2 linked regions of the Solanum lycopersicum genome follow. The protein of the gene in region 1 interacts with the protein of each later gene in a pairwise test. Links are inferred from orthologs where the notes say so. Each region holds a gene or a part of one and is shown on either strand. Other genes may lie near its edges.

Region 1 (3,825 bases):
GGCAAGCAAAAGAATAGGGGTGGGCATAGTGTAAAATCTACCAGAGTAGTTAGGTCTCTTGCTACATCTGCTCGACAGAAAAGGGGTAGAACATCATATGAAGAGGAAGAATCATCAGAACATGATTCTGAAAACGAGAGTGATGAGGATTTTGGAAATAAACCTAGAAGAGTTGCAAATCTCCGCCTTAAAAATAGTGGTAGATCTTCTGCTGCTAGTGTATCTGGCAGGAATAGTGAAATCCGAACTTCGAGTCGTCGGTCAGTTCGGAAGGTTTCATATGCAGAGAGTGAAGAAAGTGAAGAAATCGATGAGAGCAAGCAAAAGAAGGGCCAAAAGGTGTTATCATCGGTTCCATGCATACTACATTTTTCTGTGTGTCTGTCGTTTGAACTTTTTTTTTTGAGAAAGTTAACTGTTATTATTAACAAAGGAGTACATCAATAGTGTGCAACTCCGTAATTACATCAAAAGTATGCAGGGACAGCCCAAAACAAAATCAACCTCCGTTGTTTGAACTTGTTCTGGTGGATGTATTTTATAGCTTGAATCTTAATTTCTTTACCTTCTTACTGTAGTTTCTTTATGTGCCATTTATATCATTGACCGTTTTCACTGGAAAATGCATGAGCCATTTGCCCTTCATACCAATTGCATGTGCCAGGTGAAATTGCATTTTAAAAAACAAAAGTTCCTGATGAAATTGCTAGTGCTTTGTGAATATGGCTTTTGATATATTTGCTTATTATCTCACATCAGCAAGTCTTTTCATGTCCTTTCTATCTTTTCTAGCCCTGATTGATAGTGTGTAACAATTATTTCATGCAACAGGAAGAACTTGAAGAGGAAGATTGTGACTCAATTGAGAAAGTTTTATGGCATCAGCCAAAGGGCATGGCTGAAGAAGCTGCAATGAATAACAAGTCAGCTGATCCTATGTTGTTGAGTCATTTGTATGACTCTGAACCAGATTGGAATGAGATGGAGTTCTTGATAAAATGGAAAGGCCAGTCTCATTTGCATTGTCAATGGAAGTCATTTGTTGAGCTACAAAATGTATGCCTTTTCAAATCTGTATTCAAGTAACAAATTCATGTTGCTACACTTTCGTATGATAGACTTCATATTCTGTTACGATAGCTATATATTGAAGTGATTAATTTCAGTTTTATCTTTGATTTTTTCCATGCTTGAGCAGCTTAGTGGGTTTAAGAAGGTTTTGAATTACACTAAAAGGGTCATGGAGGATGTGAAGTATAGGAAGACTGTATCCCGCGAGGAGGTGAGAATTATGCACCATTTCTCAAGAATCTCTGAGATACATATTTCTTAGTCCAGTAGAAAGGACTTGACTTGCATGGGCTATTTTAGTTTCTCACGTGTGCTTGTGGTTGTTTAGTGGAAATATTTTAAAGACAATTTAGATAGATTCAAATTTGATTTGTTAATGACTTTTGCATGGTTCACGCCTTCACGGCTATTTAGCTGACATGAAATGAGAAGCTGACTTGTGAGAACATTTGAAATTTCTGATAGATGAGAAAGAGGAGTCACTCTACTCATGGAGCGATGGTTGTTCTGTTCCTTTCTTTTTTGGGTGGGGGACATTTTGCTTTTGCAGTTTTAAGTTTCAAAGTTTGTTGAAGGAGCTTCTTGCCGTTTAACTGTGTAGATGTTTCCTGTAAACCCCCCCCCCCCCCCCCCCCCACCCAAAAAAAATAAAAAATAATAATTTGGCTTGTGTCAAAGAGATAATTTTATAGTTAACTGCATGCTTTATTTTTCAAATTATTTACAGCCTCCTCTCTTATGGACCCTTTTTTCTGTTGTCCATTAGATCGAGGTAAATGACGTGAGCAAGGAAATGGACTTGGATATTATCAAACTGAACAGTCAGGTTTGTTGTTCTTAGAGATCTCTGTCACCTCATTGCACAGTTCACACAGCTCTTAACGCTCATTTTGGTTGATGCATACTTAGGTTGAGAGAGTTATTGCAGACAGAATCAGCAAAGATGGTTATGGTAATGTGGTGCCAGAATATTTAGTTAAATGGAAAGGGCTGTCTTATGCTGAAGCAACTTGGTATGCAGATTGTTTGTGCGCTTGTATCATTTTCTTTGTTCTTTTTATCCTGCCATTTTTTACATAGAAAATGTTTCTTGCGGTTTAATTGGAGAAGAATGGTTGATTAATTGTGTGTACTTGACTTTTCTCACCTCTGCCTGCCATGGATTGTTTGTTATTTGTTTTATCTGCTGACAAATAATATAAATTGCAATTGAAGCTTGAGTCTTAGCGGGTCTCCTTCATGTTATCTCAGGGAGAAGGATGTTGATATTGCTTTTGGTCAAGATGCCATCGATGAGTATAAGGTAGCAATTTGTTCGCATATGCTTTATGGATATTTGATATCCCTCTCGGATCCACCTCCTATGCTGTAGCATTACTGATTAACTCTTTCATTTCCTTAAGTAATGGTGTATATATAGATATAGTTTATGTATATGATCATGCATATTGAGTGTATAGTGTGAAAATAATTAGTGAATGTTTTTGGATAGTAATTGTTTCTGGAGAAGTGTTTGAGAAACTTGAGCACACAGTAATTGCTTGTTTCATTTATCTGATGAATGAAATCAGCGTGCCACCAATTTTATCTATAGAAGATATCACATAGGAAACATTGGTCTTCTCCTGATGCACAATACTTTTATATTCTGATAAGTGACCAGTAAGATTGTGTTTGTTGGAGTATCCCATATTGGTTAAGTGAATGGGCTGTTGTCTCCTACATATGAAGTCTTGGGAGATTCTTACTTCATGAGCTTACCATTTCTTTTCATTGCATCAGAGACATACCCGTTCTCGTTTTTTTATTTTCCATTGTTGGACCTCCATGCTATCTTGGGGGTGCACGAGAGCCGAGGGGATTTGTGTGTTAAAGCGTTCTACATATGTTGAAGTTGTAGTCTTTTTGGATCGGGCCCAAGGTTCATTTTCTTATCACAGTATTTGAATCAAACCCATCCCTGTTTGTAGTTACCCAGTGTTGGGTCCATGTCATATTTTCCAGCCCATGGATGTGTGAGGGGGAGTTATTGACTGTGCCCGAGGGAATGGGACCATTATTCCTTATGGTTATGGGCAATTCTCATCTCATAGCTGAGCTTTGGGGTTGAGTTTGGCGAAAGGTTTATTTTCTTTACGCTTTTAAGGTCAAGAAGGTTTGTTTACTAAATTACTTTTGAATCATTGAATCTTGCTTCTGAGAACGTATAATTGTTATGCAATTTGCAGGCTCGTGAGGCTGCCATTATGGTACAAGGGAAATCAGTGGATTTCCAGCGCAAAAAGAGCAGAGGTTTTACCTTCTTATCTTTCCAGCTAATCTCATCCTCTTATTCTGTTATTAACATCTGCCCCCTCCAATTTCAACTCGTCATTCCATACTTTTGCATCTCTTTCTGTGTTGTCTCTAGTCTCAGATAAACTCTTATAGGCAAATTAGATACATGCCTCACCCATCTCATCTGTCTTCTTTACAATATTGTTCATTGTCTTCCTTCTTGCTATCTGTTGAATGTTGATGTCATTTTCAATTTAAAACTGATACCTTATTAGGTAGTTTGAGGAAGCTTGAAGAGCAGCCTGAATGGTTAAAGGGTGGGAAACTTCGAGATTATCAGCTTGAAGGCTTAAATTTTCTGGTTAATAGGTAATGCAGTTGGCTCTGCATTATGGTTATATATGTTTTCTTCCCACGAGTTTTTGCTTTCTGATATGTCTTCTCACAGCACAGTTGGAGGAATGATACTAATGTTAT
Region 2 (4,467 bases), on another chromosome or scaffold:
TATATTTTTTTTTTTGATATTCTCCATTTTGCAGATCAAGAAATGGGAGGCATAGGTTATATAGGTGTAGCATAATGGAAGTTTTTACTAGACGTTGGAGTCATCTGAAGGAACATTGCAGAATGAACCACCATGAAGGCCTGTAATTATGCAGTTTAGTTTACAGTAGCTAATTCAGCCTGTGAGGATGAAGTTGCTTAAATTTGATTTCTCCACCATACCCCTCTGGAAAACATGTTTACTATAGTCATGTAAATTACCTCCTGATGCCAAAGAATGAGGTGAAGTTGTTTGTTTTCCCCTTTATCAAACAGGTTTTATGACGTTACAAATCACAAACGGTTTTTTTTTCAAGGATACCTGTAGACTTCACAATGATATCCTTTTGACGTTTTCTTTACAAGAGGTTCGTCTTGTAAGTAGAGGGATTTAGGTGACAAACACCCTAGCAGTCACCATATTAGCGATTTAGCTAAGCTTCTGCAATATTATCAATCATCATCTCAAAAGCTATGAGAATTTACAACGTATCATAAACATATATAATTAGTACAACTTTGATAGGCAAATTAGTCGTCTATATAAGCTAGTAACCTTCATTAGGTTATATTCCTTCATGAATAAGGATAATAAGAAGCTAAGGAATCATCATATTCCTTTTCTTATTGATCATGTTATGTTTTACTTAGAGTTGAAACTCTAACGAAAAGGGAATCTCTCTTCTTTTACAATGTAGGGGTAGAATTGTGTATACGTTGTTGTTAAATAATCCATCATATACTAGCATAAATAAATCTCACTGGGAGTCGATGCACACTTTAGGCAAATGCAGATGTTGATAGAGTAATAGTATAAAAGACATATATAGCATTAGAAAAAACAACAAACTAGTGATGAAAGATATATATAGCATAATAGTTTTTCAGTGTCGAATGTCATTAAAGTACTCTAATAAGATCATTTTAATAAAAACACATTTAACCAACAAAAACATACTATAAATGAAATCCAGGAAGAGTGGTGCGTACGCAACATTACAAACAGCTCATACAACTAAAATATAGAAAAGTGTAATATATTTTCTCTCTCATTGTTATGTCATCGGGGATGTAGCTCAAATGGTAGAGCGCTCGCTTTGCATGCGAGAGGCACGGGGTTCGATCCCCCGCATCTCCATATGGTAGATTCATTTTTTTCATACCTTGTTTTTTTTAATATATAACACATGTTGAATTCTTTTTTTTCTCATACTTCATAACGTATGTAAATCATTTCTTTCTCATACTTTATAACGTATGTTGAATTATTTTTTTCTCATACTTCATAACGTATGTAAATCATTTTTTTCTCATACTTTATAACGTATGTGAAATTATTTTTTTCTCATATCTTAACGTCTCTTGTGAGTGATGTGCATTATTTCTCTTATGTTGTCAATTTGAACTATTTCAAGCTAAACTTGAAAAATACAATAATTTAAAATTATATCAAGTTATCAATTCAAAGAATTTGGCAAGAGTAAAACTTGACCAAAAGAAGTTTATTTTTAAAATTTCTTCAAGACTTTATGACCAATAACATTTTATTATTTGAAAATAGCGAAATGATTCAAACACGTAATTAAGAAAGCATTATAGTTATGATATTATAATCTTACTTTTCGCTAATGATTGATCAAAAATTTTAGATCGAATTTTGAAAATATATCTTCAAATAGTTATTTGATTATGTAATTTGATCTTCAAATATTTCAATTTCCTCCAAAAAGTTTGGCTGTAGTTTTTTTTTTTCCGGTAGTTGTTATACACAAAACCTTTTTTGAAAAATCATGAAAATACATGTTCAAACATTACTTCAAATTTCAAAAATCAAAACTTCAAAAACCCAATAATTTTAGCTTCAAAATTTTCGATAAAACGAAAATTTACTTATCCTAAAACTTGTATTGTTTATATCTTAAGCCTTTTATTGAGATATCTTCACTAGTTTCACAAAATAAAATAACAACAACAACAATACTATGATCAATTTCATAAGTAATATTCAAAAAAGAAAAATGTGTAAATATCATATTCAATATCATCAAAGTAATTATAGTGTCCTGTTAATTATGTGATAATGTAAAATATTGGAATATTAACAAACCTTAAGCCGGCCTAATTGATCTTTACGCCGCCGGTGACGGATTTTCTGTAAAAGTAGTCGTCTTTCCCACCTATACCTGGCCGCCACGTGTCCTACTCCTCGGCACCCTAAGACCGACGCCGTTACACCATCCTCTGTTTCTTCGTCCACCGATAAATTGTCCAAAAAATAAAACTTTTACCCAAAACTAAACTCAATTACTAACCAAACAGTCCCTCCCCTCATTATATACCGCCGGTCAACCGAAACCCTAACCAAAAATTCCTTCTTCATCATCTTCTCACTCAACTCTCGGATCGGCGGCGCACCGGAATCGGTTAAAGTTTATGGAGAACGACGAAGAAACTCAGTCCGGTGGTTCTGGATCTCCGGAATCACCACGATCTAACGGGAGGATAACGGTGACGGTAGCATCAGCGCCTCCTCAGAACACCTTGACGTTGGCTCTACCGATACAGCAATCGAGACCTGCTGGAGCGTCTGGCGGCGGTGGAGGTAGTGGTGGTGGAAGGGAGGATTGTTGGAGTGAAGAGGCTACGGCTGTACTGATCGAGGCTTGGGGTGAGCGTTACATGGAATTGAGTAGAGGTAATTTGAAGCAGAAGCACTGGAAAGATGTTGCTGACATTGTTAGCAGTCGGGAGGATTATAGAAAAACGCCTAAAACTGATATTCAGTGCAAAAATCGAATTGATACTGTAAAGAAGAAATACAAGCTGGAGAAATCTAAGATCGCTGCGGGTCAAGGACCAAGCAAGTGGCCTTTCTTTGATAAGCTCGATATGTTGATAGGTCCGACGGCTAAGATCAATCCTACCGTCGCTGCCGGACCGTCTAATTTGTATTCAGGTAACCAACATGTGCCTATGGGTATTCCTATGGGAGTCAGGTCCCTTCCTCAGCTCCGACAACATCAACAGCTGCAGAAACAAAAGCAACCGTCCCGGAAAAGGCCTCACATGGATTCAGACACATCGGAATCGGAGTCTGAACCGGACCTTTCACCTGCTTCAACCGACAGCTTTCCTCCAGGCACATTTCAAAAAAAGAGACCAAGGTTTCAGAAGGAAATGCTGAATTCAAGCGCATTAAGGGGAGGAATTGGAGAAGCTAGTGGAAACAAGAATTGGGGGAATTCAGTGAGGGAGTTGACACAGGCAATACTAAAATTTGGGGAAGCATATGAACAAACAGAGACCGCGAAACTGCATCAAATGGTGGAGATGGAGAAGCAGAGAATGAAATTTGCGAAAGATATGGAATTGCAGAGAATGCAGTTCTTCATGAATACACAATTGGAAATTGCACAGCTTAAGCACAGGAGAAGTGAAAACAGCAACCATCACAGCAACAACCATGCTGCCGCCACCAGCAACCATAACAACAACAACAACAACAGTGATAACAGTATTTAAGGTGTAATAAAGATCCATGAGGCTCAGTATCTGACAGAGGTTTGTATTTGTAATGTGTTTAGTTTTACTGCTAAACTTCTTACTTCATTTGAAAACCAAGTGGTAGAATATTATATACTTCATTAATTCTCAATTGGAAGTTTATCTAACTCAACTAAGCTTTCCAACTTTGCCTTTACTTTTATACCATAGATTGACTTACATTTATTTGAACAACAATTAAATAGTCTTTTAACTTCTACAAACTCCATTTTGTTTATGGAGTTTAAGTTCATTGGCCTCATACAGCAACAACTTCGGTTTGCTCCCAACGATGAGAGTTCCTACTCGAGACTCAATCAAGGCTAATGTGTAAAAGGTGTTCTTGCTTTTATACAATGTTCCATAGAGTAATAGGTAGCTAAAATTAAGATAGAATAGGCCAGCACATCCTACCCTTCGGGTGGCCTAGTGATTTAGGCTTCGACTTCCATGTTGATCAATGTTTACCTGCATATAACAGGATGTGTTGCCTAATCCCAATCGTAGAAGGATTCCTTAATTGACAAAGTTTTCTTAATTAAACTTAAAGAAAATTGCTTTCCTTATTTAATTAAGGAAAATTGCGTGGAAGGTTTTCTGCTATTCAAGTCAACTGTGAGGAGGAGTTGTTGCAGTAACATAGCAAAGTTAAGGAGTTGAAGATGTGACACCTAAACTAAGTCGAAGAAGAAGTTCGAGTAGGAGTTGGGTTAAAGAAGTTTTTCTTTTTGCGGCAAAGACAAATAAGAAAAAGATTCCAAATTCAAGTTGAGTTTAAAGAAGTCAAGTTCAAGTTGAAGATGTGGCAAAAGTTAAGTTCAAGTTGAACAAGGAGTTGAAGAAAACTGAATACAAGTTCGAGTTGAATTAGGAGTACCACACAAAG

The links.
Region 2: the proteins of protein CHROMATIN REMODELING 5 (region 1) and trihelix transcription factor ASIL2 interact in binary tests that used the Arabidopsis thaliana proteins (3 or more experiments, as listed by UniProt). The link is inferred for Solanum lycopersicum from reciprocal best matches to the Arabidopsis thaliana genes CHR5 and ASIL2.

What each region holds. Positions count from the first base shown.
Region 1 is NC_090811.1:69,078,214-69,082,038, forward strand, and holds part of protein CHROMATIN REMODELING 5, read left to right. Parts: coding exon 1-339; intron 340-831; coding exon 832-1,056; intron 1,057-1,198; coding exon 1,199-1,282; intron 1,283-1,837; coding exon 1,838-1,897; intron 1,898-1,980; coding exon 1,981-2,084; intron 2,085-2,322; coding exon 2,323-2,374; intron 2,375-3,299; coding exon 3,300-3,363; intron 3,364-3,623; coding exon 3,624-3,717; intron 3,718-3,801; coding exon 3,802-3,825. UniProt on the Arabidopsis thaliana protein: DNA-binding helicase that specifically binds to the promoter of target genes, leading to chromatin remodeling, possibly by promoting deposition of histone H3.3. Probable chromatin remodeling factor.
Region 2 is NC_090802.1:66,860,649-66,865,115, forward strand, and holds the start of trihelix transcription factor ASIL2, read left to right. Parts: upstream 1-1,381; 5' UTR 1,382-2,471; coding exon 2,472-3,560; 3' UTR 3,561-3,599; intron 3,600-4,157; exon of another isoform or gene 4,158-4,173; 3' UTR 4,174-4,467. UniProt on the Arabidopsis thaliana protein: Transcription regulator that may repress the maturation program during early embryogenesis.